Neodiprion lecontei: one gene and its partner. The protein of the gene in region 1 purifies or fractionates together with the protein of each later gene. This does not show direct contact. Links are inferred from orthologs where the notes say so. Each region holds a gene or a part of one and is shown on either strand. Other genes may lie near its edges.

The links.
Region 2: the proteins of protein CLP1 homolog (region 1) and uncharacterized protein LOC107227980 purify together in Homo sapiens (affinity purification with mass spectrometry; 4 studies listed by BioGRID and IntAct, counting the BioPlex papers as one, with this or other methods). This does not show direct contact. The link is inferred for Neodiprion lecontei from reciprocal best matches to the Homo sapiens genes CLP1 and TSEN15.

Annotation. Positions count from the first base shown.
Region 1 is NC_060261.1:42,991,600-42,997,136, reverse strand, and holds protein CLP1 homolog, read right to left. Parts: upstream 3,659-5,537; 5' UTR 3,465-3,658; coding exon 3,366-3,464; intron 3,336-3,365; exon of another isoform or gene 3,113-3,335; intron 3,004-3,112; coding exon 1,946-3,003; intron 1,867-1,945; coding exon 1,755-1,866; 3' UTR 1,431-1,754; downstream 1-1,430. Other genes in the region: uncharacterized protein LOC107216500, read left to right, coding at 136-1,430; nudC domain-containing protein 3, read left to right, coding at 4,479-4,576, 4,658-5,228, 5,400-5,537. UniProt on the Homo sapiens protein: Polynucleotide kinase that can phosphorylate the 5'-hydroxyl groups of double-stranded RNA (dsRNA), single-stranded RNA (ssRNA), double-stranded DNA (dsDNA) and double-stranded DNA:RNA hybrids. dsRNA is phosphorylated more efficiently than dsDNA, and the RNA component of a DNA:RNA hybrid is phosphorylated more efficiently than the DNA component.
Region 2 is NC_060261.1:8,991,310-8,997,363, forward strand, and holds uncharacterized protein LOC107227980, read left to right. Parts: upstream 1-1,904; 5' UTR 1,905-2,099; coding exon 2,100-2,123; intron 2,124-2,263; coding exon 2,264-2,345; intron 2,346-2,757; coding exon 2,758-2,929; intron 2,930-3,014; coding exon 3,015-3,246; 3' UTR 3,247-5,413; downstream 5,414-6,054. Other genes in the region: serine/threonine-protein kinase N, read right to left, coding at 5,988-6,054. UniProt on the Homo sapiens protein: Non-catalytic subunit of the tRNA-splicing endonuclease complex, a complex responsible for identification and cleavage of the splice sites in pre-tRNA. It cleaves pre-tRNA at the 5' and 3' splice sites to release the intron.

The DNA of each region.
Region 1 (5,537 bases):
AATATTAACGAAATTTTCAAAAGACATTTATTCATCTCATAGCACAAAGTTGGTAGCGTCACTTAATTCCGTTAAAAACCAAATTCTTTTCAAGTACCTTTGAACGAATTAAATGATAAAATGTTTCAACCATAGGTTCGGTTTGCGGTGCTGTAAGTGGGGTCTGCGCAATGGTCAGATCTGGTCAGCAATTGGCAGACCGCCATCAACACCAACAGTCTATCTCTGTGATGGATGAAACAGCACGTTCCGCTTGGTTTGGTGTTGTAGGTGGTGTGGCAGGAGGTTTAGCAAGTGGGTCTACAATGATTTTGAACAAGGCAGTCCGGGCAGGTCTGACAATAGGAACTGCGGGCCGAACTACATATAATGTAATCACTATCGGTAATATAGTTATAAATGGTATGGGAATTGGTAATGGAATCTACAATATATATATGAATTACCACAACAAAAAAGAAATTTCTGTACTTGATGTAACCCAAGTAATAGCGCACGTATTGTTCTTTGGTAACGCTGTGATAAATTTTCATACGGCTAAAACTATAATCAATAATACTCAGCAACAAGTGCTTCAAGATTATGAACAGTCACTGAGAAGTAACAGACACAAAAAAGCTTTCAGACAGATCAGATGTAACACTCAGGCATGTAGCGGCGATCAAATTACCGGAGACTCTGAGATCATTCGTGGAATCCGATCGATTCAAAATAAAGATGATTTTTTTGCTGGAGTTGTTAGAAACAATAAAGTATTTAGGTCGTCGAATGCTGAAGTTACGTTCAAAGATGGTCATGCTATGATCAATCACAATGTAAAATTTGATCCCATTGAATTATCTCAGCAAACACAGCAAGTAAGAGTCAATACTGTGAGAGCTGTAGACCCTTTTCATGTATCACGGAGTACCATACCATCTCCAAATAGAATGCCAGTGGCGAACTATGTAAGGCAACTTGGCTTGATTAGAGAAAGTTTTAAACCTTTCACGTACTATGCATCATTTCCGATATCTTTTGAAAGCATGAATTATATTGGAAAGCTTGTAATTGACATGCAGAACTTTAGTGACATTGAATGTACGAATTTAATTACGAATCTCGCAAACATTGCGCAACATATTCTTAGAAAAAGCAAAGAATTTGCAAAGGAGTCAATGGATAAATTAATGTACGATATTTGGATTGGGTATGTGAGACCAAAAGTCGAGAATCTGTTTGCAGATTTAGGCATAGATGCTAGTCACATGGATCGCTGTGATAATTTAGCAGAGTTTTTCTTCGATACTGCACGTGAGATAATTGAGGACATATATAACGAAATAGATAATTTTTTGGAGGAAATAAAAGTGAGCTTTTTAAGAAGTTCTCAGTTGCAATCAGAGGCTGCTGTCTGCAGAATTTGCTCAGGGCATTTGCTGAGCGATTAGTACTCAGTTGCATGAGTTTTTACTCCAAGAGTAAGGAAGGTGCCTTAAAAATACTAAATGGAGCTAATTAATACAAATCAAATACTGCTCACAATTAATAGTATCACTAACTATTTATAATTTAGCTCTAATAATATTGCTCCATTAGCCAGATTGTACCATCCTAATGATTTTAGGACTGTGGTAAACAATAAAATCATTTGCACAATATAAGTTTCAAATATCTTCAAATGCATTTGTTCTGTTACCTATAAAAATATATATATTTTTGTATGGTAAAAATATTCAGTAGCGTTTATACAAGTGTAAAATTCCCTCAATGGCTTAATGGCTATCCATAAATTGTATATCAGACAGAAGGAGGACGGTGTTTGGTAGCGGCCTTGGTTGTGGACTCAAAACCATAAAAGTTTGCCTCTCGACATCAACGTTAGTTCTGAAACATTTGATTATTTACTAAACATCATTAGATTCATGCCACTTTCTTAGATCGAAGGGTAAATATGAATACGAACACGCATACGAAGCCTGCCACATTGGTTTGCACAACGTCATCTTCAGGGGAATCAGCAAATGAGACTGAGAGTAAGTGATGCAGCAAACTTGGACCTGGGCTAACGGCTACCAGTTTTGTCAAATTATCTTCTGCTTTCATTCCTAGAGGCATACATGACGCTGGCAACATCGGAGCTCCCACCTTGTAGAGCCTTGCTTCACTCCATTTGACTTCAAAGCTATGAGGGTAGAGCGGAGTTCGAAAACCGTAGAAGTACTCGCGAACTCTTTTGTCCCGCGATTCAGTCCTTAAGGATTTACTCCTCTCAACAACACCGCCGCTTTTGGGGAGAAAAACGACCTTCACAAAGTCTGGCATATCTCTGACTAGCTCATTATAGAGACGCTCCTGATCGAGCACTAAAATCGCGTCCACTTCAAAAGCCTGTGCAGCATGAGTCAGTAGTTTATAACCAGCACCCTTGATCCAGCCGCAAGTGTTTATAACGATTCCTGAGGCCTTAGCTTTCTTGTTGGCTTGAAGTCTGTCAGAACATACTTCAGCCAATCGTGAAACTAAAAGATTGTACAGCGCAGTATTTGCGCTGGGACTGGAGTGACCAAAGTGAAAGACAAGCGGGGCTTGTTGACTAAATCCTTCGACAATGTTTGCCGGTCTTTCTACTAATAAAGCTCCGACTGTTCCAGGTATTGCTATGTCACCTTGACCGACGTCGAGATCAACGAAAACAGGTCTTCGCCCCATTCGAACTGCATAATTTAGCAACAGTCTGCAGAAGGTGGATTTTCCTACATCTCCGGGCCCTACTACCATTGTTATAGGTCCAACTGTATCTTCTTTTTCTGCTGTTTCACGCATTCGCTCCATCGCTGCATGGCAGTTGAGATAAACACCCATTGGCGTCTCTTTGGCCACGTAGATCACATCTGTCTTTCCTACCAGTTCTAAGACGCATCCTTGCCATGTGAACACTGCGAGTTTTGCACCCGCAGAGAATTCGTATTTTTTCCCTTTAACTAGTTCTGTACCAAACACTTCGGCAAGACCGCTTTTCAGCTGAAATCGTTACACGAATTTTATAGTTCGATGTTCATTAGTCAGAGGACAGATTATAAAAAGGTTTAAATGTACATAGCCGTCTTTTTTTTTTTTTTAATCTCAACGACTGTCGCGTTGAACGATTTGTGAGTGGTTCAGTTTTAACTCTCAAACGGGACTTTGGGGGTCGGATCCGACCCACAGTTCTATTTCTCTCGGTCTTATTCTTCCCTCTCGTTGCATACGGTCGAACCGTACCGAATATTCCGTTTCAAACCACCGTACCGTTTGAGGGTTAAGAACAAAAGCTGAAGTCGAGAAGAACAACCAAGAATCAGTGTTAAGTAAACGTAAATAAACCTATGATATAGTTTTCTAACCTCTAAAGTAACTTTTTCATTCTTTTGTTCAAGTTCGAACCGCAGCTCGCAGTCAGGTTCGAGCTTGTATTCCTGCGTCAGACCTTTCTCTTCCGTCATTGTTGTTTCAAGTACTGTTCTCAATCAAAACAGGTTCAAAACAGAAGACTAATCGTCACGTTAAGTTCACACCGTTTTTGTATCGCACTTCACACAATTGACGACGAAAATGTCTCATCGATTCCTTTCGTTCATGGAGATGCTCTCGCTGTCGAAATGAAATCCCAATGTTCTAGGATCTTTTGCGAGCGTAAAATCATATTATCTATCTGTACCAAAAATTTTAAATGATTTTTACGACAGTAAATACAGCAGATGGACAGTTTGACACACAAAAAATTAATTCAAACAATTGTTCCAAATAATATTTGTTGGAACCGTGCACGGAACGAGGCGTACGATAAGTTGCAATAAAATAAAGTTATGTTTATCAACATTTGCGAAATAATAAAAATATATTTACGTTTTCCACAATTTATCCATGCGTAAATTGTCTATATTACGAAGAGAAATGAGGGATTTGGTAAATAATTCATTAAAGTAAATGTTATTCATTTATGAAAAGTAAATCTAAGAATTATATTTTTTCGCCTCTGCAGAACTTATTGTAACAGTGCTGCCCTTAACTCTGTATGCTCTAATTGTAAGCCTTAACTACGCGAGGGTTTCAGTGTTGACCCCTATTCCGTGATAATAATCTTCTCCGAAAAGGATATCATTATTTCTTCCAAAATTCCGTCGAAGAACTGAAACGAATTATTTCAATGACTTTCAAATTTATGGCAGTTATTTTTCGAAATTTATCTAATTTCAATCGAAGAGTTGAATTATTTCTTTCTCGTTTTGCCAACATGTATTAAACAATTATGTGTGTCGATTTGTAGCGTTCAAAAGTGCGTGCAATATCTTCAATATCCAGCTAGTGCTGCTGTCGCTGGTATTCGGGAGAACTAAGTTTGTCTGAAGCGTCATTTCTGCTTAACTTTATCCACGTGCTACCTAAATACCTATATTTCGGACGATAGTTTGTGGTTTATCTGTGAAGAAACGTCACTGTCAAACCGCGTTTGTGTCATGGAGTCGAAACACGACGAGTTACTTTTACAAATTTTGAAGGATGAACTGAACATAACCAATTTTTTGAATACGTTCTTCGGATTTATGTACAGATGGTAATGTACCTGAATTGAACATTTGAGTACTTGGATTAAGAACAGAATTCATAATAATTGATAATGATTCAAGACTGTCAGTTTCATTCTTTTTAGCACCGACTTTTACGTTGAATCGACACAAGACCAGAAGTTGGGTTTTCCAGCAGGGGTTGCTGAAGACTTAGTCTTAAAAATCTATCGGAAGTGGAAAAGTAGATTTGAAGCTGACAATCTGTCCAGATCTGAGGCCCAGGCTCAAACCTCAGAATTGCTGGAGCCTACCGAAGTAGTTGAAGTAGAAGTCGAAACCAGCAGTAACCAAATAGACGATGAGCCGATAAAGACTTACAAAACGCCGGTACAGCCATCTGACAGCTATAACGGAGCTGTTAGAGAAAATTACACTTGGTCGCAGACGATAAGCGACGTTGATGCACTTGTCAACATTCCTTCAAATATCGAATCGGCGAAAGACTTGAGGGTTGATATAACTGCCCAAAAAATAAGAATAGCTGTGAAAACGGAACGCCTTAGAGAAAATAATTCTCTGGACAAATATTCTGACGGTGCTACAGACTCTGAATGGATCGTTACCTTCGACGAAGAACTCAGCTTTAAAACGCAAAGAGAGGAATCTATGTGGTGCATTATACCTGGGTACTACGTCCATGTAAGCTTTCAATTTTATTTGATATGATTTGGAGCTTTTATTCAAATTTAGTAGCGAATCTTCTGATAATAGAAAATAGTAGCGTCTTCCTTTCGGCAAAAGAAATCCAAGATGTTCGTTTTTCAATTACGATTTGACAGCATTCCATTGATCTCTAACAAAATTCTACAGGTTCATTTGGAAAAAGCAACCGAAAGATGGTGGGAGGCTCTGACTAAGGGTGAGCCGCACATAGATTTGACTAAAATTGATTGCTCCCGACCAATTGAGGACTTGGGAGCAAATGAACAGATGAAAGTTCAAGAACTG
Region 2 (6,054 bases), about 34 Mb from region 1:
CAGATTCGATTTAAATGACCCTTTTCTGACCATCTGGACCCCTAGGAACTCAGAAAACGCAGCGAAAACAGCGTGGGATCAACAGGAGAGAAGTTACGAAGGAAAAAGCACCTGCTGAAAAATGTCGAAAACACAGGTTCTCGTTTTTCGGCTGTAACTTTTGATGCGTTGATCGCAGCGTATTGGGACTGCGCCCAATCGATTTCTCTCGCAAAACTACGTCGGAATGGTGCATGAAAGAATTTATTCCAGCACTTTTCAAAATCGCGAAAATTTTCGCCAAAAATGCAAAGGGGTTAGCCTTGCCTTTTTTTTAGCCGAAAAATTTTTGGTCCCTGATTCGATTTAAATGACCCTTTCCTGACCATTTGGACCCCTAGGAACTCAGAAAACGCAGCGAAAACAGCGTGGGATCAACAGGAGAGAAGTTACGAAGGAAAAAGCACCTGCTGAAAAATGTCGAAAACACAGGTTCTCGTTTTTCGGCTGTAACTTTTGATGCGTTGATCGCAGCGTATTGGGACTGCGCCCAATCGATTTCTCTCGCAAAACTACGTCGGAATTGTGCATGAAAGAATTTATTCCAGCACTTTTCAAAATCGCGAAAATTTTCGCCAAAAATGCTTTTTTTTTAGCCGAAAAATTTTTGGTCCCAGATTCGATTTAAATGACCCTTTCCTGACCATTTGGACCCCCAGGAACTCAGAAAACGCAGCGAAAACAGCGTGGGATCAACAGGAGAGAAGTTACGAAGGAAAAAGCACCTGCTGAAAAATGTCGAAAACACAGGTTCTCGTTTTTCGGCTGTAACTTTTGATGCGTTGATCGCAGCGTATTGGGACTGCGCCCAATCGATTTCTCTCGCAAAACTACGTCGGAATGGTGCATGAAAGAATTTATTCCAGCACTTTTCAAAATCGCGAAAATTTTCGCCAAAAATGCAAAGGGGTTAGCCTTGCTTTTTTTTTAGCCGAAAAATTTTTGGTCCCAGATTCGATTTAAATGACCCTTTCCTGACCATTTGGACCCCTAGGAACTCAGAAAACGCCGCGAAAACAGCGTGGGATCAACAGGAGAGAAGTTACGAAGGAAAAAGCACCTGTTGAAAAATGTCGAAAAATACGTGTGTCGTCATGGGCCGTAACTCTTGATCCGTTGCTCGCAACGTATTAGCACCAATTGTAAGATAGCACCACCTTCCTTTTTATTCCTTGAATTTATCGAAACTCAACGGTCTACTCTATTTAGCCTACGAAACAAACTGGTGAGATTTCATTTGTAACTCATCGAGATTACAAGTATGTGATATGCGATGCTGGGTGAACTGTGGTACTGGCATTTCCCATGAACAATTAAGTATGAATATTCAGTCGAGGATTGTTAGTGTCACCTTAGATGTGTTGAAATCAATCACATCAGGTGTTGTGATGCATTTATAATTCACCGCAATTCGGAAATGAAAAGACCGGACACGTATGTTAGTCACGTCAAAATACCTTATGTAGTCATCTTTCACTGATGACATAAGTACGCGAAATAAATACCAGGTTAATTTTCATTACCGTTTCATCATTCTATTCCAATAAACAATTTTTATCAGAAGTGGTGAAAAAACAACCGCCTGACGCATCGTATTTCTGCAACCTGCGATACACGAATCATTCGGATCCTGCATACACCGACCTGATGATGGCGGACCCTGTTTCACTTGTTGTTCACAATGAGTTTTGACGTTTACACCAGAGATGAGTTTCTGGTGTTACTCGGTAGGAGAATGCAGCCAGCATCATGTCGAAATCGGCCACTCTCAGATGTTCTGCAACAAGTTCTCAACTCTACCGTCGAAACATCTCTGGAGGCGCAAGCGCACAACGATTTTCGTTAGTCATACCAAAGTCCATTAGGGAAACTGTCTTTATATTGTTCAGTCAAGGCATGTACCGATCTGAAGATGGCGGACTCTGTCTCACTTGTGGTCGACAATGAATTTTGACGTTTTCACGTGAGGATTTTCTGTCACCTCCGCTGTTGCAGTTCAGACTTTATATTTACCACGCCATTTTAAACGCATGACAAACGTATAAGGCCCAGTGAGCATAATGTATAGCACGTGTCATCCAGCAGTGAGTACTTATTTATCGGTTGACATCTGGAAATTCGCATGTCAGGTGTTAGAATGTGGTCAGAATAAACATTCGCTCACTTCAAAACCACTTTCTACGTCAGAGACTACGGAAATTAACTAATACGCTCATTCTTTCAGTTTTGCGATATAGAAAAACTTGGCTGCACGAATGCTCTGCAAATCACGATTGCATTTCAAACATACATAGAACTGTGCGAAGGTATGGATATACTCACCGACTTGATTAAATAATTGTGATCCAACACATCAGACGAAAACGTCTGGTGGCAGAGAATCTACTATTCTAAGAGAGTTTCATCTAGTTATGAAAGTTTTATCTTATTTTTTTATTACGACACATGACTTCATGTAACAAAATGATGGTTGTTTGGCAGTTTTTTATACCACAATATTCGTATAATACGAATCTAAAACGATTGGTCCATTTCTCTTTGTTATTTTGGTATTTTATCGCTTAAGCATGCTCATATGTTTACTGCTAATTTGTCTTCAGGACAGAATTAAGAACGCTACTGTAGGTGTAACACGAAACATTCCTTTCATTTATGAATCTTGCAAAATCTAAAATTTCAAGTAGCACGTTTTATTTTCATTCCTATTACTGGTTTTAGTGAAACGGTTTTGGGACGTACAGTACAAGTATAACAAATCACTTGACTTGATCTATCTGGAAGCTTGTGCAACCAAATCATCTCCATTGCAAAAATACATTCCATGGCCAGCAGTAAATGCCATATCTTTGAATCATATCGAGCAAATGCAAAAGGAATTGAAGAGTGAACGGTAACTTTAGAACTTACTGGTACCATGTCTTCAATCATTTACTTGTTGCAGAGAATGGACTGACAATAATTTATATTGTTTGTAGATTGACACTGGTTTTCGTAGAGGGAGACAGTACCAGTATTTATTACTGTGTTTCAGCTGGACTTGTAAAACCGGCATCGCCAGAACAAAGCAAAGAGTACAAAAAGAGGCAAGAAAAGAAAATTGAATTGGAAAGTGAAATAAGAAAAAATGCTTCAAATCTCTATGAATTAGCTACTTCGGTAGAAAGTAAAGAGAGTCAAAGCAATCCTGAATTGTCTGCAGGGGATTGAAACGCACAGTTCATACTTGAAATATAAGTCAAGCAGAAGAATTGCTCCGTATAAAATTATTTAAAATAATTGCAGTCAAAGAGTTTTTTTTCCTTGTATTTATTGTATGCATAATTTTTCTTGGGCATATTATAAGTTTATAAATTTTAGAGTTATCACTAAAAACTACGCAATTAATTAATATAATATTGTATCAAGCTGCCACTGCAATTATACGTATCAAATAAATTAATACTTTAAAATCATCACGTAGGCATCATGGTTATTAGTTGTTTAGTATATAAACTATAAAGTATGAGGCACATAGTACAGTTTTCTTTGTCATAACAGGTATGTTGAATATTAGGGATAGTGTAATGAATGCATCACCGAACACATCTTAAGATTAAAACCTAACAATGTTATTAGGTAAATGTATGTAAAAATTGAGTAAGGAAACGTTTTTACTGTACTAGTAAAAACTTTCAAAACAAGAAGTTATATGACTATCTACAATTGAAGATTTATTGGGTATTTCATGTTGTAATTTATGTTATATACACCATACGAATTTGTTATTTCCCGAATACATGTTAATATGTGCTTCTTTTAGAGTCACGTGCAAATTATTTGATCGCGTAACTATACAGTTAAAAGTGGAAGTAATGGAACTCAACATTCAAAGTGATAAATCTTATTACTTGTTAAATAGACAGTTCAGTCATGATCGATAATTATTTAATGCTTCCTAAAATAGTAAACAACGATCAAAAAAATATGATGATTAATAATAATAAATCAATCGAGAAGATACCGTAACGTGAGTAGTTTGGTAAGAATTGCTCTAGCTTAGAAATAAACGGAAAGATTATTTGTTTCCCGGATAAGTGTTCAGTTTTGGCAGTTCAAAGTTGCGTCGATGATATAGAAGCAAAGTAGGTGAACAATGCCTGCAGAACAATATATTAGTATTTAGCTTATCAAGACGTGTTACTGTAATTATCAATAATTGTTGAAATTATTTCAACACGCATTCAAAAATTACAATTTTCTTCATATCAATGAATCGAGGTTGACATTAATACAAAAATCACATATGTATTAGAATAAACTATGTTCTTGGCAACAACTTATACTACGATTATGATTCATTATGTTGGATATGCAGTTAAAATGATTTTTCTTTTTTTTTTTTAATTTTATTTATATTAAAATTATTTTACTTTTGACGAATACGATCGTAATCTATATCTGATCGTTTACCTTCATTTTCTTATAAAGTATAGAATGTATCCTGTGAGATGATTTCTAAAAAGGTATTTAAATTAGGCCGCTAATTAATCATACCACAGTTGCCTAATCACCGAAGGTACAAAACTGGATTAAAACTCCATAATGGGTCCATCAGATGTTTTTATGATAAAGTATAACGTGAGCACCTCCTGATATTGATCAGTGTTGATTATAATATATTATAAAAATGCTTTATAAAATAGTTACCAAATAATTTTTATTTCTTATTTACCATTGTATTAATTTTTTAATGCAATAAGGCAACTATTCATCGAGATTTTCTCGAAACTATCACAAATATTTGCATTATTTTTATCGATCAATTTTTATTGTTTTTATTTACCAATATCTCACGGACAGTAATTTAAGAGAACTGAGCTTTTTGCTCAAGATAGAAAAGCAACTCCGAAATCACATTCAATATTGTTATAGAATATCAGATTGATTGGTATGAATTTACCAAAATAAGTCCTAGTTATTTAACATGGTTCTTGCATGATTTGTTTTTTTATGAGAAAAATTTTATAACTTCATCAAAATAATCCGTAACCTTGATCATTGCTTTGATTGTCAATTGTGAAAAGTAAAACTGATACCACATAACCTGGTCCAGATTTAATAGCTTAATAAAAAAATTGCCTTTGAAATGAGAAAGACTTGTGTTTGTAACAACTAATTATATTCTCAATTCTTATATTTTATCATACTACATAAAACATTTCTCAAGCCTGTAAATATTGTCAAAAGTGAATGTATTACATCAATGCACTTTGTAACTATGTTGGCATTTTCTGAATTAAACACATGAAACAAGCATGGACTACGTCGACTTTTTTCCCACAATTTTCGACACCTACCGTTCGAAAGTTCAATCTCCATTTGAAACCAATGCAAGGAAAATAAACAAAGAAAAAAAAAATAAATAAATAAATAATGAGCGACAATTGAGGGTCAATTTTTACTTTAGTGCTGTGATCTTGACAGCAAAATTCAAATTGTGCATTGATCAGTTATCAAACAGGCTGTGAGCAAATAGCATAATTATTATAACTTCCGTCCTAACGAGCAAGTTTTCTTTTGGCCAATACAGAGTTTATACACATACTTTCATAAAATTGAATTATACACTTTTGCTGGTAGAAATTTTATCTTTTTATAATTCAAAGGCAATATCTCATAATAATACAATTAGAGGACTTAATTTTTACATAATCAATAATCGCAAATGTGCAACTGTAGTTGAAAAAATAATATACAATTAATTGTTGATTCATGATTGTGTGTGAATTATTAACTATGTCGTACACATAGGAAAGAAAACGTGCTGGCGTGGAGAATATTACATTGGAATTACCTACGTGTTGGAAGCAAATTATATCACTGCAAAATAAATTTTGTGAATGAAACTTATAACTCTTATGCGAATGAACACTAGAAGACTACATAGTCTGCCTCTGTAGCGATTGTAGCTAGCACCAATCGGCCATGTATGTGAAATCTCTGAAGAAGTTTTGTTCTTGATCATTGAGCGGCCGA